3 linked regions of the Oryctolagus cuniculus genome follow. The protein of the gene in region 1 interacts with the protein of each later gene in a biochemical or structural test. Links are inferred from orthologs where the notes say so. Each region holds a gene or a part of one and is shown in the gene's direction. Other genes may lie near its edges. The genes, in order: MAPK8, STAT3 and NR4A1.

Evidence for each region.
Region 2: of the proteins of MAPK8 (region 1) and STAT3, one has a biochemical effect on the other in vitro, tested with the Homo sapiens proteins (2 studies listed by BioGRID). The link is inferred for Oryctolagus cuniculus from reciprocal best matches to the Homo sapiens genes MAPK8 and STAT3.
Region 3: of the proteins of MAPK8 (region 1) and NR4A1, one has a biochemical effect on the other in vitro, tested with the Homo sapiens proteins (2 studies listed by BioGRID). The link is inferred for Oryctolagus cuniculus from reciprocal best matches to the Homo sapiens genes MAPK8 and NR4A1.

The regions. Positions count from the first base shown.
Region 1 is NC_091446.1:81,310,892-81,318,156, forward strand, and holds the start of MAPK8 (mitogen-activated protein kinase 8), read left to right. Parts: upstream 1-2,436; 5' UTR 2,437-2,637; intron 2,638-7,265. UniProt on the Homo sapiens protein: Serine/threonine-protein kinase involved in various processes such as cell proliferation, differentiation, migration, transformation and programmed cell death.
Region 2 is NC_091448.1:20,435,769-20,443,083, forward strand, and holds the start of STAT3 (signal transducer and activator of transcription 3), read left to right. Parts: upstream 1-2,995; 5' UTR 2,996-3,040; intron 3,041-3,661; exon of another isoform or gene 3,662-3,796; intron 3,797-4,723; exon of another isoform or gene 4,724-4,894; intron 4,895-5,043; exon of another isoform or gene 5,044-5,101; intron 5,102-5,392; exon of another isoform or gene 5,393-5,509; intron 5,510-6,528; exon of another isoform or gene 6,529-6,735; intron 6,736-7,076; exon of another isoform or gene 7,077-7,125; 5' UTR 7,126-7,315. UniProt on the Homo sapiens protein: Signal transducer and transcription activator that mediates cellular responses to interleukins, KITLG/SCF, LEP and other growth factors. Once activated, recruits coactivators, such as NCOA1 or MED1, to the promoter region of the target gene.
Region 3 is NC_091442.1:55,340,526-55,347,823, forward strand, and holds the start of NR4A1 (nuclear receptor subfamily 4immunitygroup A member 1), read left to right. Parts: upstream 1-2,383; 5' UTR 2,384-2,896; intron 2,897-7,040; 5' UTR 7,041-7,298. UniProt on the Homo sapiens protein: Orphan nuclear receptor. Binds the NGFI-B response element (NBRE) 5'-AAAGGTCA-3'. Binds 9-cis-retinoic acid outside of its ligand-binding (NR LBD) domain.

The DNA.
Region 1 (7,265 bases):
GTTCTGTAACAGGCTCATCTTCCTTATCACGGCTGCTCAGTGCCTGGCTCTAGGCCCTCTTCTCACACACTACACTACACTGTCTCTCCATGGCCTAGGCTCACTCGTCCACACCCTAGGCTTTAGGTCACTCCTTTGGTCAGTGATTCATCTCTTACCTAGCAAGCCCCAGCCGTGTCAGTACAACTGCCAACTAGGCAATTCTTTCGGGCATATCAATAGTGGTCAGACCACCAGCGAATCTGCTCTCATGATCTTCCCCCCGCCGCACTGGGCCTGCTCCAAGAGTCCCACATTGCAGGATCAGCACCAGCTTCTATCCTTGGCCACAGGCCAGAAGCCTACGAGAGTCCCAAGATGATCCCCTCTCACCCACCACTTGCAAAACGTGCAAGCTGTGCACACTGGATGTTCCAACAGTCCTCCGGTCCTTCTACTTACTGTTTCCATGACAACAAGCCTAGACTGGGTCTCCACCTTTTGCTATCTAAGTCACTCCTACAATCAAGTGACTTCCTTCCAATAGGACCTTTCTTTTCGTTACAGCGAGAGAAGGAGAGATGAAGTGAGAAAGATAGAGCTTCTATCCACTGGTTCATTCCCCAAATGGCTGCAACAGCTGGGGTTGGGCCAGGCTGAAGCCAGGAGACAAGAGTCAGAGGCGTCATCTAGGTCTCCCATATGGGTGCAGGGGCCCAAGCACTTGGGCCATCTTCCACTGCTTTCCCAGGTACATTAGCTGAGAGCTGGATCAGAAGTGGAACAACCGAGACTTGAACTGGTGTCCATATGGGATGCTGGTGCTGCAGGCTATGGCTTAACCTGCACACCACAGCACAGGCCCCTAATAGGACTCTTTTCAAGATGTCATTCTGAGGACATTCTGAGCTGTGGATCACTTGGTTAATCCTCCACCTGCGACGCTCGCATCCCATATGGGCACCGGGTTTTAGTCCCGGTTGCTCCTCTTCCAATCCAGCTCTCTGCTGTGGCCCAGGAAGGCAGTGGAGGATGGCCCAAGTGCTTGGGTGCCTGCACCCACAGGGGAGACCAGGAGGAAGCACCTGGCTCCTGGCTTCGGATCAGCGCAGACCAGCTGTAGCGGCCATTTGGGGAGTGAACCAATGGAAGGAAGACCTTTCTCTCTGTCTCTCTCACTGTCTATAACTTTGCCTGTCAAAAATAAAAAATAAAAAAAGATGTCATTCTGACTATGCCACTCCCCCCAACCACCCCCACCCCCACTGCAGAACCTGTCAGAAAGAAAGACCTTCAGCAGGGCCAGTATGGCTGTACTAGGCGTGGGGTTTGTTATACCCACAGTATAACAAAGACCCAAATCACCCTTCACTCTGTCTAATGATGAACAGATGTTAAAATAATCTGGCACATTTCTCTTTTTAAAAAATTTACTTATTTATTTGAAAGGCAGAGTTACAGGGAGAGAGAGAGAGATCCATCTGCTGGTTCACTCCCCAGATGGTCGCAATGGCTGGAGGTGGAGCTGTGCCAGTCCGGACCTAGGGATCCGGAGCTTCTTCTGGGTCTCCCATGTGCATGCAGGGGCCCAAGCACTTGGGCCATCCTCTGCTGCTTTCCCAGGCCATTAGCAGGGAGCTGGATGCGAAGTGGAGCAGCCAGGACTCGGACAGGAGCTCATATGGGATGCCCGCATCGCAGGCAGCAGCTTTACCGCCTAAGCCACCGCGCCGGCCCCTGGCACATTTCTTTCCAGTTTTTTCCCCCTAGGTACTAGGCAGTACTGACACGGATCACTCCGTGTATGTGGGTGTCCTTGTTGCTTCTTTGTCTTTCCCAATTTGGTAACACTTCCTCGAACACATTCCTAAAACGTGCTCTATAGCACGCCTGACAGTAACGCAGGTGCCTTCCTCCTGTTGTTGGGTCTTTAAGGACCTGTCAATTTCTCTGAGGAGCTTCAGCTGTAAACCCGGCAATGCAAGGAATCCGGACTAGGTGCGTTTTCAGAAAACAAACAGGAGGCTAATAAAGGCCTTGGATTTGCCTCCGGACGCCGGGCCCCAGGCGGGTGTCCTCAGTATGCAGAGTCCAGTCGGTCACGGTAACCGGCTCCGGTCTCCCAGGTGTGCGCCCAAGTGGGTGCACCTGCTCGCCGGGTTGGTATGACCTTCCACGCCCGGGGCGAGGAGCCCTGCAGGTGCAGGCGCGCATCAGCGGACCGCCGCGGGGCAGCCGCCACCCGCCCGGGCCACGCGCCGCCACGTGCCGCCACCGGGACCCCGCCCGCACCGGCCCGCGGCCACGCCCCTCGCACGCGGCTGTCGGGCGGCGCTCCGGGGGCTCCTCCTCCTGGCGACCTCCGCGGCGGGTAGCCCCGCCCCCGGGCCGCGGCCCCGCCCCCGCAATCCGGGCCCCGGGGCGCCCCGCCCCGCGGGCCGCTCGGAGGCGCGGGGGGCGGGGCTCTGCGCGATGACGTGGGCGGGCGTGCGCGGTGACGGCCCGCGCGTCCCTGTTACTCAGCGGAGCGGCCGAGGCCGGACGACGCAGCCTGGAGCGCGGAGCCGCGAGCTGCGCTGGGTAACGGCCGCGGCGACCGCCCGGACGGCGCCCGTGCCCGCCGGCGGGCTTCCCCGTCGCTGTTCGCCGCGCTGCCGGGTGAGTGTGGCGGGCGCCGCGGCTGCCGGCGGCCCCGCCGTGTTTATGTTATTGTGCGGCCGCCGCCGCCTTCTCCTCAGCCGTGAACCCCTCCCCGGGCGTGGGGGCGGGCGCGCGCGGCGGGCGGGGGCGGCGCGGGAACAATAGCGGCCCCGGAGGCGGGGGCGGCCGCGGGGGGCGTGGGGCCGCGGGCGCCGGACGCGCGCCCCGGCTCGGCGCCCCGGGTCGGCTCGGCCCGGCCCGGCCCGGCCCGGCCCGCGCGCGCGCGTCGCTGTCGTTGCACGCCCTCCTCGCGGGGGTCCCGCTTGCGCGTCGGGAGGAGAAGATGGGGGTGGGCGGCAACTTGGGAAGCACTTGGGCGAAGGGGGCCCGGGCGGCCCGCGGCGCGCAGCCGACTCCCCGGCGCCGGGGGCCGGCGCGCTGGCGACAGGGTCCGCGCGCCCGCCCCGGCGCCCACGGGGACCGTGTGTGTGTGCGCGTGTCGCTCGGCGAGGTTCCTTTGTGCGCGGGCTTCCTAGTCGAAGGCGGCCTGGGGGAGGCCAGGCCCCGCGGCCCGTGCGTGGAGGGTGCCCCTCGATCCCGGCCCCGAGCCTGCGTGGCCAGCGCGCGTGTCCCCGCTGCGGGTCACTTCGGTGGTGACCTCTGGGCTGCTTCTCCCCACCGTGCCGTCGCTTTGTCTGCGCTGGCGTTCCCGACCCCCGGCGGGTGGTGGAAGCGAGGCCGCCTTGGACACTGTGGCGTCTTCAAGTTCCCCCTCGCGTCTGTACTGTGCGTGGATCGCCGTGTTGACCGCGCGGTAGGAGACAATGTCCGGTGGTCGCTGTTTGTAGATGCGGTGGTCTTTCCGGTGGAATTCTGGTCTGTCAGCTAAGCATCCAGTGCCTGCTTGAAGCGAGAACATCCGTGTGTGTGTGTGTGTGTGTGTGTGCGCGCGCGCGTGTGTTCCATTCATTCATTCATTCATTCATTCGGCAGCTGCTCCCTACTGCGCCCACAGGGGAGAGGTTTGCATGTAAAGGGAAGACGGCCCTCAGTGGAGGAGGAAGCCTTGGTTGCAGTGTAGCAGATGTGCCTTTAAATGAGATGGTTATATAAGCGATGCGTGTGTGGAGGTAGAGTTGTGCGCTGGGTCATTTTACTAGTTTTTAACAGAATCTCTGGAAGTTCAAGTAAAATGTTATACGAGGAGATAGTTATCTTTGATCTAAATCCACAATAGTTTTTACTTTCAAAAAATTTTTTATTTTTTTTGCCCAGTCTTCGAGCCCTGTGGTCATTTGGGATGGCTACCTCAGACCCGGCCGCCGCGGTTAACGTGAAACCCAGGAGGTCCGAGGCTGTGGTGCTGAGTCTGACTAAAGCCTGGGACTTCCTGGAGAGCAGGCCTGTCTTCCATCTGTTTCTCTTTTTCTAGCCGGGGAAATAGTAAGTGCTCAATACAACTTTTATTAACGTTCATATGGTTTGCGGAAGGTTCCTGCGATTCTCTTCCACATAGCCAAACGATCGGTTTCATATAATAGGAGATGGGTTATGGGCTTTTGAGTCACTTTGGTGTCATTCCCCCCCATCCCCCCCCACCCCCCGTCACTTCTAGGCCATCCACTATCCTAAAATAAAACCTTGTCTAAGTGTTTTCTGGTGATTCATAAAGTAAGTTGGATTGTAGGGGCCAAGGCGTGTCGTGTACGTGTACACACACACAGAGTGGTATTTTAGTAGGAGGCTGAAATGATTGCGTTTATCTTCTTGTAAGTATTGAGAGGTTTTTGACTACTTCTTTCAGTAGAAAAGCTAGAAAAAAGGATATAGACTGTGTAAATGTTTTATTAGAAATATGTAACTTCTAATAGGATTTTAGAAGCATTAATTGGAAATGTTTAACTCCTTATATTAACACTTCATGACGCATGTGGGACTAAAACTCAAAATAATACCTAATTATTCAAGTTATAGCTGTTTCCCACTCACTGCTAAGTACATTTTCACATTTGTTTTGATATGAAAGAAGTTGAGGTGAACTTACTGTTTGATGTCTAGTAGAAATGAAGAAATAATAAAGTGATACTTTATTAAAATACGGAATGATAATCTTGAGATACCAAATTTTAATTGCTTTACCAAGTTAGTCAGATGTCAGGATCCAGTAGGGCTTACTGATAAAAACCCTTTGGTCAGGCAATTTAAAGAACTAGAGTTGTGGCTGCTTTTTTTTCCCTAAATTTTTTTTTAATAGCATTCTTTACATTTAATTCACATATCATAAAATTCATCCTTTTAGAGTGTTCCATTTCAGTGTTTTTTTAGTATGTTCACAAAGTTATATATTGATCACTGCTTTTAAATTCCAGAGTATTGTCATCAGCCAGGGAAGAAACCCCATGCCTATTAGCAATCACTCAGCATTTGAAAAATGTTTTAAAGGGAGAGATGGCGCTGCTTCTGTTAACTAAATCCATGCCTTTAATGACTTTGCAAAGGGCACCTTTGAGTGTCCTGGAGGAACAGGAAACTGTCCTTCATACCTCTTCACATTGGAAAAGGACTCAGAGGAAGAGTAAATTGTATCAAAATTAATTCACCTAGAATCTTCAGTATACCCTTACTTTATATTACGGAAATGACCTGTGGTGATCCACGGTGTTTAGTGAAACAACTTGAAGTAATTTGTTATTAAATGACTAGTCACAAACTATCCTGGTGGTAATTAAGGTTGTTGAGTAGGCGCCTGCCTCGGTTGGGGCTTTGCCATCACGCTGAGTTTTGACATATTTGAGTCATCTGCGTGGTTGAGATGCTTTGTTGCACGTGTGGAAGAATGAAATAGTGTCTGGCTTTAGGATGCCGGCTCTCTCGAGGTCTCTGGTCAAGTCCTTGGTACGGGCAGTAGCCTTTCTGATTCATGTAATGCAAGGAAGTCATTATAACCGTGTAACTTTAGATATGAATCATTTGCCTATTTTAGTGAGCTGTGATGCTTATTGTCTTAGTCATGAACTCTTTACCTGAATATTTAGAAGCTTTGCATTCTTACGCTAATGCAGGTTAACTTGAATTTGATTTCAGAAATGAGTTCTGATTCAAGAGATTTTACTACCTGAAAGTTGACAAGAGTATTGAAATAATATGGTCTGGGAGCAGACCTAGGTTCACTTGTTACTTAGCTGACTTTGGAGTCTTAAGCAAGGTGGTTCTACAACTATAAACTGAGGCTGTCGGAATGCCTTTTTTTTTTTTTTTTTTTAAATAGAAGTTTGTTCCCAATTAGGTGTTTCTTCAGAAAGAAGCTGGGGTCCAGAACAGCAGTGAAAGTTAGGCTTCTGTTAGTTGTTAGCAGAGAACATTGTTGAGTTAGCCAGACTAGAAAAGAAAAGCATAACCATAAGCTCAAGATTGTTATTGTTTTAATGGTAGATTCTGTTCATCCTACAACACCATGCTTTCTAAGGAGACTTGCTGCTCTCAGAGACTTTGTGAAAGAAATGAAAATGGAGGTTCACTAGCCGTAAGAAGCTTATGATCAAGGATGGAATATGAGCCATATCTAAGCAGTGGACTTGTGCTCTGAAAAGATGTGTGAGGCTTCCCTCAAGCAGAGAACCCACTACAAATCTCTAGGCAGGCCAGATTTCACTGAAACCCAGGTTTTCAAAATTGTATCTGATACTTTTGAAAATCTTACTAGCTACTATTTTTCAAGGTATTGGGTTATGTCATACATGTGACATATGTCTGTGTCTACTGTTAGCTTTTACTTGTACACCAGATTGGGCTAAAACTGGCCAATTCTTGAAGAAGTTGAGGGACCCAAACCTCACAGTGATCGCTCATATGGACTAGGGCCATTCCCAAGTTCCAGTCCATGATCCCAGTGGTGTGGCTGGTTTAGATTAATTAGCACATTTGGACCTGTTGAATTATCATAGGGCTGTGAGTTTTAAATAAGGTGTTGCATTTGCAGGTGCCTGGCGCCGATGCCAGGCCTACATGGTAGATGTTAAGTGTTCAGGACATTTTTAACTATTGTTATCACTTAGTATTTTTAACTTTGAACAAATGCAAAATGTCAAGTAAATTTAAAACCAACTTGACTCTCAGTGTACATCGTAATCCTACAGAAGAGCATGCCAGTTGTTTCCCTTTGCAGCTCTGGGAGGTTTATTTACAGTTTGATCATCTCATCTAATCTGCATTGTCTGAGATGAATTATGTTAATATTTGGGCCTGCAGTCCTCCCTGCTTTAAAATACAGAAATGTTCCAAAAGCAGAGATTGAAGGGAACGTATTTGCCATGACCTCTAATACACAGTTGTTGGCCTTTCCAATAGCAGAGAATTGCCTAAACTTTCCTTGGTTTATTTTCCAGATATTCCAAGGAATGGCAATCCAGGAGCTGAGAATAGCTATATCATGTAACACATTTGAAGAAAGTGGAATGCCAAGACAGCTTACTTTTTTTTTTTTTAATTTGACAAGCAGAGTTAGAGAGAGAGGTAGAGACAGAGAGGTCTTCCATCTGATGGTTCACTCCCCAGATGGCCGCAACGGCCAGAGCTGCACCAATCCGAAGCCAGGAGCCAGGAGCTTCTTCCAGGTCTCCCACTTGGGTACAGGAGCCCAAGGACTT
Region 2 (7,315 bases), on another chromosome or scaffold:
TAAATATTTTTTAAAAAAAGTGCCTATATGGGAGGTTGGCACTGCAGGTAGCTGCTTAAGCTGCTTCACCAGAGTGCTGGCCTCTGTGCCTGTCAATTTCAAATTCCAAATTCCTGGCACACAGAACCTGCTGGAGCCAGTTAACACCAGTGTTCACCGTGGATCCAAGGCAAGGAGGAGAGGTTCTTCAGTTACAGATGTGGCTGAAGGGAACCAGGGCATTGTTGGGAAGGGAGGGCTTGTGAGCTAGCAGGCAGGATGCAGGACAGATGGGGCATGGGGCTGCAAGTCTGATTAAGGAGCAGCTCACAGAGGAGAGTTAAAGGGGCCTCGATTCCAGATGAAGAAGCAGAAGGTGTCACACTACAGAGAAAGTAACTTACCTCTGTCTGCTGAGGCTTAGCATAAAAGAATTATCAGAAGATAGTCATGGAGGCCAGCGTGTGGCCTAGTAATTAAGAGACATGAGGCCTGCATCCCCCACTGGAGTGCCTGGGCTTAGTCCTTGGATCCAGCTTCTGATTCCAGCTTCCCGCTAATGCAGACCCTGGGAGGCAGCAGTGATGGCTTAAGTCGTTGGATCCCTGCTACCCACATGGCAGACCTGCACTGGGTTCCCACCTCTGACTTTGGCCCTGGCCTGGCCCTGGTCCAGTCCTGGCCACTGTGGGCTTTGGGGAGTGAACCAGCAGAAGGGAGCTCTATCTCCACCTCTAAAACATTTTTTTTTTTTAAAGAAAACAAGAAAGGTGTTGTTGAAGTGCTAGGAATAATGAGTTTGCCAAGGGAGGGAGTTGAGAGAGAAGAAGGTAGAATCTAGGATTAAGGCATCCTAGGGCCCACGATGCCAGCATCCCATATAGGCGCCGGTTCAAGACCCGGGTGCTCTGCTTCCATCTAGCTCCCTGCTAAAGGCTTGGCAAAGCAGCAGAAGCTGACCCAAGCATTTGGACCAATGCACCCGTGTGGGAGACCCAGAAGAAGCTCCTGACTCCTGACTTCGGCCTGGCCCAGCTCCAGCTGTTGAGGCCATCTGGAGAACAAAACAGCAAATGGAAGATCTCTCTCTTTCTCCCTGACCCCGGGTCCCTGCCCCCTAACTCTGCCTTTCAAATAAATAAATCTTAAAAAAAAAAAAAAAAAGGAATTAAAGGCACCCTTTGAGTGAAGTTTGAGACCAGCAAACTAGACTGTGGAGGGAGGGGTCACACAGGAGACAGGCGTCCTGCTGGGCACAGGGCACTCTCATCAGCATTACCTAGGAGAATTCCTGACACATATTGGATGTCCCCTGCCCAGAAAAGTCCCTGCCCCCTCCCTCCAGGCTTTGTCTCCGCTGGGTGACCAATACCCCTGCCCTGTGCATGGCTGCTCTATCAAGGATGATTGTCCAAGGGCTGGCATTTTGGTGCAGCAGGTTAAGCTGCTGCCTGCCATGCTGGTCTCCCATATAGGAGTGAAGGTTCCAGTCCCAGCTGCTCCATTTCTCACTCAGCTCCCTGCTAATGTGCCTGTGAAAGCAGCAGAGGATGGCCCAAGTGGTTGGGCCCCTACCACCCATGTGGGAGACCTGGAAGTTCCTGGCTCCTGGCCCAGCTCTAGCTGTTGCAGGCATTTGGGGAGTGAACCAGCAGATGGACGATCAATCTCTCTTCCCTCAATCCTCTGTTTCTCCCCCTCTGTCTCTGTAACTCTGCCTTTTACATAAACAAATAAATAAAAATCCTTAAAAAAAAAAAAAAAGGTAATGACAACCTATGGTGTAGGTACTTTCCTCTTCCTATGTCATAGATGAGGAAACAGATCCAGAGAGGTTCAGGAAGTAGCCTAGGGTCACACCGCCCAGTGGGCAGAGCGGCTGGGAAGTAGACTGAGTCAGGACCTGGCTCTCATCCACCAGGCTGCGCAGTCACCTTGAGGGTATCTTCCAAGCAAGAACATTTGAATACAAAATTACCAAGTCGGAATTATGCTCTCTAGTTAGATCAGGATGCCAAGGCTCAGAGAGGTTAGGGAACTCTCCCAAGGCTGCACAGCTGATCCTGGACCAGAACCTGGATTCAAACTTGGGGTGTCTCACTTCAGTTCCCGGGAGCTTTCACGTGAATGTGACTGCGTCTGTTGCCTGCGGTGATGGCCAAGGGGAGAGAGTGGCTAGGACGCTGCCCAGTATCAGCTTCTACAGCAAAGCTACGGGAAACGAGAGCATGTCCACTCTGGTCAGGAGGAGGCCCCTGGTGGCCTTCACGACCACTGTCCTCTGGTCAGGGGCTGGCAGAAGCCACCTAGGGCGAGCAAGTAGAGATGTGGGGGCAGTGATGAGAAGTGGAGGGGTAACTGAGGAAATACTAGGGTCAAGACAGAAAAGAGGAAGTGTCTTCAGAGACGGAGGGAGGAGAGAATTGATAAAGCTCAGAGGCAGAAGTGGGACACAGAACACTTCCACTTATTCACTACTTACTGAGCAGCTATTATGTGCTCCGCACAAGAGATCACCAAAGAGCCAAGATCCAGTGCAACTAACAGTGTAAGGAGGGAGATAACAAACTCTGTAAACAGATAAATAAAATGAGAGTTGTGATAAGAGTCCAGGAAACTGGACAGAGAGATAGTGATGAACAAGTTGGGACCAACTCTAGGCAGGAGTGGTTAGAGGAAGACTGAGTAAGATGGGAGTGGTGAGGCGGAAGTAGCTGTGCCAAAGCCAGGTGGAGAGAGGGAGCTGGCACATGCCAAGACCAAGGGCTGGGACGTGGCCTGGCTGGAATTCAGTAGGCAGCAGGGAGGGCCTTGCAGGGATGAGATAAAGGAAAACCCCTTCCCCTAAGCTCCCTGGGAAGCCCCGGAGGAACAGAATGGCATGGTGTGAATGCTGCTTAGGCAGTAGGGAATGACACAGCCTTGCCAACAGTGAAGAGGGAGGGCTGTTGATCAGCTGGGGAGAAAGAGAGAGGCTTGCAAGAGGATGCCTGCGGAGCAAGTCCCTGCTCTTCCCGGTGCTGTCAGTGAGAGGAGCCAGGCAGCCCTGTTGCTGAGCCCCGTGAAGGACCCCTTGCCTGTATGTTGTCACCTTTGGTCACCACCATGCCTCACCACCCACCTATCAGCCCAGAGGCCTTCTCTGCCATGCCACGTTTTTGTGTTTTGTTTATTTGAAAGGCAGAGCAACACAAAGACACACACACATAGAGCGATCTTCCGTCTGCTGGTTCACTCCCCAGATGCCAGCAATAGTCGAGGCTGGGTCAGGCCAAGGTCAGGAACCTGGAACTCCATCTGGGTCTCTCATGTGGGTGGCAGAGACCCAAGTGCTTGAGTGACCACCTGCTGCCTCCTCAGGTGCACAGAAGCCATGGAAGCTTCCATGGGAAGCAGAGGCAGGACTTGATCCCAGATGCTACAATACGGGATGTGGGTGTCGCAAGCCACAGCTTAACCTTCAGTGCCCTAAAGCCCACCCCAACCGCGCCTTTTTTTTAATTTTTAATTTGTTTATTTGGAAGGCAGAAATACAGAGAAGGAGGGGGAGAGAGAGAGAGAGAGAGAGATCTTCCATCACCAGTTCATTCCCCAAGTGTCTACAACAGTCAGGTCTGGGCCAGGCTGAAACTGAGAGCCAGGAGCTTCATCCTGGTCTCTCACATGAGTGCAGGGGCCCAAGCACTTGGGCCATCCTCTGCTGCTTTCCCAGGCACATTAGCAGGGAGCGGGATCAGAAGTGGAGCAGCTGGGACTCAAACCTGTGGATGCCGGCACTGCAGGTGGAGGCTTAACCTTCTATGCCACAGCACTGGCCCTGCAGTGTTTAAAAAAAAAAAAAAAAAAAAAAAAAAGGAAAGAAAGGCAGAGTGATGGGGTAGGAACAGAGACCTTCCATCTGCTGGTTACCCCCCAAATGCCTGAAATAGCCAGGACAGGGCCAGCTGAAGCTGGGAGCCAAGTTATTCAACCCAGGTCTCCCAAAGGCTGGCAGGGATCCAGCTGTTTGAGCCATCACCTGCTGCCTCCCAGGGCCTGCATTCGCAGGTTATTAGAATCAGGAGTGCAGCTGAGCGTGGAAGGCGGGCATTCTGATATGGGAGGCACATGTGTTCACTGTGCGGCCAAAGGCCAGCCCCAGGCCTTTTCTTTCTAAGCCTTAGTTTCCACAGTCATAAAATGAGAATTAGAACGCCTATGTCCTTGATCAAATGACAATCTCTGCGTAAAATGCTCAGTACAGTTCCTAGAACATAGTGATTAATAAAGGTTAATTATTTCATTTATAAGGAAGTGGGCTAGTAAATGGATACATTGCAGTTCAAGGTGGGGAAACACCTGCTGACGGCAGCCGAGAGGCAGACTGCCTGGGAGCACCGGGAAAGCCCAGAGGCGGCGATGCTGGAACCGCGCCTTCAAGAATGAGAGAGTTTTCAGCGAGGGAGCGAGGAAATGGAAGAGACATGGTGGGAGGGAAGAAAACCCACAGGGGCTGAAGTGGCGGGTGGTGCTGGCACGCCCTGGGGAAGGTGATCAGGGCAGGGCGGGAGTTCAGGTGGTGTGGGATGAGCCTGGACAAAGGGCTTCAGGTGAGAATACAGGATTTAGGAGTCGAATCGAGAGGACAAGGGGCATCAGCCCAGCTCCTGCCGCATGCCTGGCACTGAGTTAGGAGGTTGGTGCTTTTTTTTGAAGGAACTTGGATTTTTACCCTATGGATCACGGAGAACAGAAGAGATTTTGAGGCAGATGGCGACAGGGCTGAGTATTTATTCATATAACTTTTAGGATGATGCTCCTGGTAGCCAAGGGGAGATCGGGATGGAGTAAGGAGACAGTAGGGAAGCGGCCAGGCTTCGGCTCAAGAGGGAGAAGCTGCAGCGTTCAGCCGGTGGGGATTGGGGTCAGTCGGAGGCTGCAGAGGGTTTTTGTCCCTTTATCAGGCAGGCTCAGAGGTAGATTTCAGGGGAGAACGGTGGCGAGGGCAGTGAGGGGAGTGAACGCTCCTGAGGGGTCAGGGGTCACAGCTTACCAGGATGGAACAAAGCTGTGGCTCTGACCCACCTGGTGCACCTCCGGGTATCGCTGGGATTGGGCCCTCGTTGTCAGCGATGAAGGTGACCTGTTGTGAGAAAGGAGAGGAGAGTGTGTGAGCACCTTCCAAGCAGTAAATCACTGAGCAAATATCAGACCCTCTGCCACCAGGGAGGCCGTGAACTGCAAGGGGCCACACAGCTGGGATGGACTTTAGGGGAGGTGGCCATGGTGAAGATAAAGAGTGATCCATGACCCGTACATGCACTCTGTTTACAAACAGGCAATCCCACACTTCCGGGATCTACAGGACACCCCGAGACAGCTGTCCCAGCACCCCGACACTGACGGTTGCCTTATGGGTTCCCTCACCTCTCACTTGGATTTAAGGGCGCACCAGAAGTCTGAACCTGGAGTCTTGGGGGAACCATGTGAATTGCTGAGTATTTCTGGGGCTGGAATCCGTATTCTCCACCAAACTCTGAGATCCACTCCCCTTCAAAGGTTAAGAGACACTGATTTTTTTTCTCACCAAAAATTAAGAACAGCTATCCTTGGGGAAGACTGAATGAGGCAGGAGGGGGAGATTTTTCATTTAAAAATTTCTGGGAGGGGGGTCTGCCTCTCTTGGAGCCCCCCTCTTGGCTGCTGCATCCGGAGGTTTCTGACTTCAATAAATCTTGTTTTAAAATAAATATTTTGAGGGGCCAGTCCTGAGGCATTGCCGGTAAACCTGCTGCCTTCAGTGCCGGCATCCCGAATGGGAACTGGTTTGAGTCTCAGCTTCTCCACTTCTGATCCAGCTCCTTGCTAATGCTCCTGGGAAAGCAGTGGAAGCTGGCCCCAGGGCTTGGGTCCTTGTATTCAAGTGAGAGACTTGGAAGAAGCTCATGGTTCCTGATTTCAGATCCATCCAGCTCCAGTGGTTGTGGCCATTTGGGGAGTGAACCAGGGGATGGAAGATCTTGCTCTGCTCTCTCTCTGTAACTTTCAAATAAGTCTCTTAAAATTTTTCTGAATTGTTTGAATTTTTAAACCATGAACATGGATTAGTTTCACTGAGAAAAGTGTTATTAGAAGTTACGTGGGTGGTTGAGATAATGGGCCCTTTTTATATTTTATCTTATCTCGTTGTGTTAAACGATTTTTGTTTTTGCTAAAAAAAAAAAAAAAAAAAAAAGAACCCGGATAGAATGGAGCACACACACAACACTCTATTATGCAAAATTCACCCTATTACGAAAGGCAAAGTGTGTACATTTCCTATGAACGACCGGCTTCAGTTCAGTAATACCTGCATAGACAAGGTGGAAAAAAAATAGGGCAGACAACGGGGAGCATTTCGGCACAGAAATGTCAGCAAGGGGTCATCTTCACCTACAGTCCGCACGTGTGTGTACCGGCCCGCGCACTAGCGGCTGAAGGCACAGAACCCAAGACGGGGTTAAATCCACCGCCGTCTCCCACGCAATCTAGTAATTACTCTATTTCCACGTCATGTTTCCGGGTGTGTGTGTCCCAACTCACGCAGAAGCTGGGGTTCAAAGCAGGCAAGGGTCGCCCATGTTCGTCTTGTCGGCCCCAGAAACCCAGTCCAAGAGGAGGGCGCCTGGCAGATCTGGCGATACCCGGGGACCGTCTAACTGGCTGATTCCCACGTGGTAAGAACCTCTCAGTCTCGCCCCCACGTGGTGCCAAGGGCCGGGAAAAGGGAGAGCGGGCAGGAGGGAGCCGTATCAGGGGCATTTAAAGTGTCTTGACGTCACGCACTGCCAGGAACTCAGCTGAGTTTTCAGCAGGACATTCCGTTCATTTTCCCCCCTCCCTCCGGACTTCTGTGCCCAAGGCCGCGTCTCTTCCGTTGGTGCCGCGGAGGGAGGAGCACTAAAGCTCGGAACAGCCAGCACAGGGGCGTCCCCAGCCTCCCCTTGACTCCGCCCTTTCTCCTGGAGACTTACCTCATTGGTCAATGGGTGGGGCTTCGACGGTACAGCCCTCGCACTGCGGCCTCTGGGTGGTCTAGCAAGCTGGCTGTCTCATGAATTATGTATAAAGGCGTGCCTTGGCGAGACTGGGGCTGGGCGGGGATTGGTTGAAGGGGCTGTAATTCAGCGGTTTCCGGAGCTGCGGCGGTGTAGACGGGAGGGGGAGTCTGGGGTTCCGACGTCGCAGCAGAGGGAAGGAGCCCCAACCGGATCTTTGAAGAGCACCCCCACTCGGCGTTGTCTCTCCGCATCGGCTAGCAGAGGCCCGGCGGCCTGAGGGAGCCCGGCCGCCCGCACCCGGCGCTAGCGCAGCCCCG
Region 3 (7,298 bases), on another chromosome or scaffold:
GTGGGGGAGTGGGTGAGACTCTTGGGACTTGGTGCTAGGGTCCACAAACGGGGCTCAAGGATGGTGCCGAGAGGAAACCCGATGGAAGGGGGGGTTCTATGAATACTCCCACCTTCCCTGGAGCGCGAGATTGAGCAATGGCGGTGGCCCTCCCTGCCCGCGGTCAGCCCTGAGGGAGACTGTGGGATTGCCCAGGGGCAGGCGAGACGTCAGGCCGCCGTGCGGTGCGGAGGCTGCTGGGTCCCGCTTGGAAAGCCGAGGACAGGGTCGTCAGGGGAAGGGAGTGGACAGGAGCGCGGGCTGGCCGCAGGTCCAGGTGGGACCTCAGGGCGCCAGCCCGGGGGGAGAGCGCTGCGCTGACCCCTAGTGGTGACCTCGAAACGCTGCTACCCATCCACGGTGCAGGGGCTTCTGCCAGGGCGGAGCCCCCCCTGAACCCACAACCCTTTATTTAAGCCCCTCCCGCCGCAGGGGTCCCCACTGGGGGGCTCCCAGGCCATTGAACCCTCCCCTATGCACCTCTGCGACCCATGCCTGGCGGTGGGATGCCACTGACGGGGCTGACTGGGTGGCCGATGGGGCAAACAGCACCAACTGACGGCAGGTGTGCCCCGTGAACCAGAGGGAACCTGGGACTTCTGCGCTCTGGGCCCCGCAAACCTCTGCGCGGGGCATGCCAGCGGGGCCCGGGCAGGAAGCGCGTTGGCCAAACGGAAATCAAAAATTTTGATGTCAAGGAAAACCTCCCAAATCTCAGTGACTTCCCTTCCTGGAGTTGGGCCTTTCCGGAGGCAATGTACAAATCACGCAACAAGGTAACAGTTGCGCAAGTGCCTGGGGCTCTCTCTGCCCACTGCTCGGTCTGCAGTCAGACTGGGCCTCCCGCACGCCCAGCCCCCCCTCCCCCTTTCTGGGTGAGTGAAGGCAAGCCCAGAAGTTGGTTACCTGTTGCAGCAGCAAATGGCTTCGGGGGACATTTAACAGTGCAGACACCCCACCCCCGCACTTCAGATTTTGTTCTAGCACCGGTTCGAGTCCCGGCTGCTCCACTTCCCAACCAGCTCCCTGCTAATATGCCTGGGAAAGCAGCAGAGGATGGCCCAAGTCCCTGGGCCCCTGCACCCATGTGGGAGATTCAGATGGAGGCCCCAGCTCCTGGCTTATGCCCGGCCATTGGGGCTGTTTGGGGAGTGAACCAGCAGATGGAGGATCTCTCTCTGTAGCACTGCGTTCCAGATAGGTAGGTAGGTAGGTAGGTAGGTAAATAGATAGATGGATTTTGACCCAGGAGTACTGGCGTGGGCTGGGGCGTTGCTATTTTAGGAGTGCCCGAGGTACCTCCTAAGAGTTTCTGGATGGATATTGGATCCCAATGGCCACATCCGTGTCCCAGCACCCGGGACCTGCTGACCGGCTCAGCGACAGAGGGCAACGGAGGGCTTCCCCACTGGCGGCGGCTCTTGGGGGTTCAAGTCTACACCAGGAGTTGGACCAGGCGGGGAGGGGGGTGGCGGCGGGGGTTGGAGCCGGCTGCCCACTAGACCGGGTTGTGGACTAGGCTGAAGCCGGGTGAGGGAGGCGCGCAGCATATCAGTGCCCACGCTCGCCCGCCCTGAGAGGTGCTTAGGGCTGGGACGCCAAGGCAGATTCGGCCCCCGGTAGGGGGGGAGGGTGGTTCGCAGCCGCTGCGACCCGCGGTGGGGGCGGAGACCAGGCGGGAAGCAGGTGGCAGCGCCCGAGTGAGCAACCGCTTCTTGGGGCAGCTGATCGCGTCGCCTTAGGAAATCCCGGAGACCAGGTGCAGCCCCTGCCGCCGCCCACGCGGGGGCCTTCCCCCGGCGCGCGCCCAGGCGGGACCCGTGGCCCTGCAAGCTCCGCCCCTAGGTGCCCGCGGCGGCCACGCTCCGGCCGCGCTGGTTCGCGGAGCTGCGGGGCGGCGTCGCCCCCTGGCGGGAAGGCTTGGGACTGGCGCGTCCGGCTTTCCCTCCTGGAAATGTAGGGATGTCGGTGCCGGCCCCACTGTCTGCCAGGAGTCAGGGCCTCTCCCTCAGGTTAGCCCGGTCCCGCCCGCCAGCCCCGGGACGCTGGGAGCTGGCAGGGGGTGCTTCTGCTGCCGCTGCTGCTGTGATGACAAACAGGGGGTCGGACCTTGCCCCCTGTCCAGCATTGCACGTGACCAGCGTCCGCAGAATTCCTCACCTCAGCATCTTCCCGCTCAGCCCTGTACCGATGCGCTTGCCTCGGGGTAAAGGCGCTTTGCTTTCCCTGGCCTCACCCGGGTGCCCGCTCTTGCAGAAACGCACCCTGCTGCGGGCCCCTGTATAATCAGCTCTCATTGCACGACGTCACCCCTCCACTAGAAGGCACGTGCAAGAAAAGTGGAGGCTCTCCGAGGTTCTTTATTCACCCCTTCGGTTCCTGCAACCTGGCGCACGGTCCGCTCTGCTTACGCTCGGGCGTGCACGTCCGTCCGACAGCCTTGCTCCCTTCCAAGGGGCGGCAGTGCCACTTGTGCCCGGTGGAGGGCGCCACCGCCCAGCGCTCCGGAGTGCAGGTGTCTCAGCGAAGCCCGAAGGCCTCGGCGCTCCCACCGCTGTGACCGGAAGCGGGAGGGCCCCCCGCGCTAATCTGCCCTGGCAGGCGGAGCTGGCATGCTCTGGCTGCATGGGCCGGCGCGCTGTGTGCCGCAGGCCAGAATGCCCGGACTGGTGGCTGGGACACAGCGCTCAGCAGCTGATGGAGCCATCACAGCCTGTCCCGGGCGCACAAGACGTTCTGCGAAGGTAGACACCTGGCCGATGTGACTGCTGTGCGTCTGTAACCGGTCGTGGCAGCAGACTGGCAACCAGAGGGCCAATTAGAGGCGACTTAGAGGAGTCTCGAGGCTGCCCCGGAGGTGAGTTTATGAAGGGGATTAAGACGGCGAAGGAGACGGAGGTTAAAAATAGCAACCACTTTTCACCAGGAGCTTATTAGGAGCCAGAGCTGAGGACAGCGCCTCCAGACATTGTCTAATTATAGCCAACACTTATACCGGCGTTGCTCTCGCGCCAGGAACTGCCTGAGCGCCTCGGCCAGGCACGCAGCTGCTCCTCACGGTAGCTCAGGGCTGTAGGTGGCATCTCTGTCCCTGTCCCGCACATGGGGAAACTGAGGCACAAGGGCCTAAAGAACTGGCCCCAGGCCACGCGCCGGGCTGGGATGAAGACAGCTAGGAGTTATCATCAGGCCCAGCACACCTAAAAGACCATGTGAAGCCACCCAAGAGCAGGTGCATCTTAGCCCAGTGTCACCACCAGGCTGAGCCTCCCAGCGCCCACAGAGGTGGCCGCAGCGGTGGGCACAGGTGCAACAGTGGACACAACGCCTCCTCTTCTAGTGGTGCACGGGGACAGAGAACAGAGGCCAGGGCAGCTGGAGGAGTTTGCTCCACGGGCTTGGCTCACAGGAGGGAGAAGCCAGGCCATGGCGGAGGTGTGCTGGTGGCTGTCACCCCCACGCCTGTTGATGGTGATTCCACCCAGAATCTTGGGCTCCGTCCACCCACGTCCACGGGGCAGCATGCACTCTGAGGGGCTGGCCCTCCACGGAGGAGACTGGAGCATGCCTGCCCTTGCTCCAAGTACCCACCACTCAGCTCCTGGCTGCCAGCTTTTACATAAGCTGCTCCATACCAGGGCTGGCCGGGCTGGGCTGGGGGCATGATGAATGGTTCTGGGCCGTCAGCTGACAGCCCTGTGCTCCCGAGGTGACCTGAGGGCCCATCGGCAGCTCGGGTTACCCAGCCCTTCCCGGGAGGGCAGTCCTGCCTGGCTTGCAGAGGACCGTCCCAAAGTGCCTCTGTGTCTGGACATTTATGGTGTGGGTGCTGAGGGACCGCCCCGCGCACAGCCACGCCGCGCCCACCGCTGGGTCTCTGCAGCCGGCGCCGGGGGAGTTGGGGGCTCCCCTAGCACCTCGGAGTCCTGAGCCTGAGGAATTGCAGGTGGGAGGGGAGTGCACGCCAGCCGCATTCCCATGCCTCCCATTCCAGTCCGCTCTGTCCCTGCACTTATGGTCGTGGACACAAGGGGGCGCCCGCACACCCTGATGCCCACCGCAGAGGACAGCACCAGACACACCAACCCCGAGGTCCTGAGTGGCCTGGGCTAGACTCTCACAGACCACGTGGGGAGTGGGACGGTGCGCCTCCGGGGGCTGCGCTCATGTGCTCAGACCTATGGGGCCACCCGGATCGTGCACCTGTTGACACCTGCTGCTGAACAGATCAGGCCAGCGTTTAACCCAGCTATTAGGATGCCGGTTAAGACGCCCACGGGCCCCATCCTAGTGTCTGGTTCAAGGCCTGGCTCCAGCTTCCTGCCAATGCAGAGCCTGGGAGGAGGCAGTGATGACTAGAGATCACGTGGGAGACCTGGATTTAGTTCCCAGCTCCCAGTTTTGGCCCAGCCCTGGCCATTCTGGGCATGAATCATCAGATAGGAGCTCTGTCTCCTTTATTTAATTTTTTGAATTACTTATTTGTTACTTACGTGAAAGAAGCAGACGGCCTATTTGGTCATTTCCCCCAAAAGTCTGTAATAGCCGGGGCTGGGCAGGGCTGCAGCCAGGAGACGGGATGTCATCCAGGTCTCCCACATGGGGGCGGGAACTCGACCACTGGCGCCACTACCGCCGCCTCTCCGGGTCTGCCCTGGAGTCGGGAGCTGGCCCTCGAACCCAGGCACTCTGGTGTGGGAGGTGGCTGAACTGCTAGGTCTGGTACATGCCCCTCAAATAACAGTAAAAACCTTCCCCAAGAAAATAGTAATGCTTTATAAATTACTAGGTGTTACATCCCCTAATTGGCTGGTGCTGTAGTGCAGCAGGTTAAGCCATAGCCTGCAGCGCCGGCATCTCATATGGGCGCCAGTTCAAGTCCCGGCTGCTCCACTTCTGATCCATTTCCCTACTAATGTACCTGGGAGAGCAGCAGAGGAAGATGGCCCAAGTCCTTGGGTCCCCATACCCATGTGGGAGACCCGGAAGAAGCTCCTGACTCTTGTAAATACACACACTCACACACATGCATACACATTCATGCACACGTGCACACACGCGCACACATGCACACCTCTCTGCTCTCCTTGGTGCTCACACACGCGGCCCAGACTCCCTCTGAACTCCTGCAGCAGCGCCCCTCCCCCACCCCCGACGTGCCCTGCCCATGCCCAGGTGCGGCCTCTGCCTCTGCACCCCTCTCCTGAGCTGTGGGTGGGTCCAAGCCACAGGGGAGACGGCCCCCAAAGCCACACCAGAGATGGGCACAGCACGGGCCACACCTGTGGGGGAGCGGGGGGGGGCGTGGCGTGGCCTCCCCGGTGCCTGCCTCCTGCCTGCCTCCCTGTCTCCCCCCCCCCCCAGGGGGTTTTTCGCCAGTAACCGGAGCTGGCTTGCTGGTGAAAGCAGGAGCAGCCGTGTCTCCTGGCAACGGCGACTGCACACAAGATCCAGCTAATCCCAGGCTGGCCCGGCCGCCTGCCGCCCGGCGCACACCCCCGGAAACACTGCTCACACACCTCTCCCTCATCCCAGCCCAGGCTTGCAGGGGCAAGGAGGACCCTTTCTTTCTCCATCCTCTCTGTCTCTTTCCCGTCTTCCAGCACTGGGGCCCATCAGAGCACGGAGCATGCGACAACATGGCGGGGGCCAGCCTCTGAGGCCACCCTGTTTTGCATGCAGAGCTACACGCTGCTGCTTCCGGGCCGGGGCCCCTGGATCTGCTCCTTGATGTCCTGGTTCCTCAATACTAAAATAGCACTCACCTGAAGAGAGGAAGCAGGCAGCACAGTGCTGGGCTCCAGGCCCTGCAGGATTTGGCCCCATCCCGGCTCTGGCCTCACCTCCTTTAGTCCCCTCCCTTTTATGCTGCTCTTCTAACGGGCCAGGCTCTGTGGTGTGGCAGGTTAGGGCACCAGCTGCGATGCTGGCACCCCATATCAGAGCGCTGGTTCAAGTCCCCAGCAGGCTCCACTTCCCATACAGCTCCCTGCTAACATGCCCCGGGGGAAGGCAGCTGATAACGGCCCCAAGTACTTGGGCCCCTGCCACTCATGTGGGAGACTCAGCTGGCTCTGCGCTTTCTGCCTGTGAAATATCTCACTGATACCCTGCATTGCATTATCTTTTTACATCTGTGATGCTTAATTTTTATTTGCAAAGACATGCATTGAACTGTAGTTTCTTGCTGTTGCAAGCTTTTTGGGAGAGTAAACCAGTGATTCCTCTCTCTCTCTTTCACTCTCTCTTACTCTCTTTCGCTCGCTCTCTCTCACTCTCTCTCTCCTGTTTTCCCAATAAATATACATTATAAGAGCACTTGGAATTGATGCAATGTTTAGGGTGCCACGTGGGGTGCCCACATCCCACACTGGGGTGTCTGATTGAATCCTGATTCCTTTGTTTCAGATCCAGCTTCCCGCTGGTGTGTACCCTAAGAGGGAAGAGGTGATATCTGGGATACCTAGGTCCCTGCCCTCCATGTTGGAGACCTGGAATAAGTCCCAGACTTTGGCTTTGGCCTGACCCAGCCCTAGTTGTTTCTGGCATTTGGGGAGGGAACCAGTAGATGAAGGATCTCTTTCTGTCTCTGTCTTTCTCACTGTCTTTCAAATAAAGCAAAATAAATAAATAAATAAATAAATAAATAAATAAATAAAATTTAAATGCATTAAAAGCGGGGCAGCTGTCATGGGAGGAGACCTGCATCCTCTCTTGGAGTGCTGGTTCAACCTCTGGCTGCTCTTGCTTATGACTCCTGGGAGGCAACGGATGATACTCAAGTGGTTGGGCCCCTGCCGCCCAGGTGGGGGACCCAGGCAGAGTTCCTGGCTCCTGGTTCCCACGTGGTCCAGCCCTGGCTGTTGTGTACATTTGGGGGAGTGAGCCAGCAAATGGAAGATCTCTCTCCCCAACCCCCTGGCCCTGTCTCTCTCTTTCTCTCTCTGCTGTTCTTCCTTTCAAATAGATGAGAATAAATACACATTTTTTTTAATTCAAAGGGAAAAAGAACAACAAGGCAGAGGAAAGGCGAATTCACGCTGTTCTGGGGGCCACGGCTGTCCATCGGAGACTTCTGGCTGGCGGCTTCCCTGGGCCCAGGGCTAGCAGGCTGTGGACTGCTCGGCTTCTGCGACCTGGTGAGCCAGGTCCTCACGCCACCTCTCTTTCTTTCTACTCATCTGCCATGGTTGTTTCTCTGGAGAGCCTTGGCTACGGCAGTGGCGGGAGCCACTTAACACGATGGACTACAAGTGTGG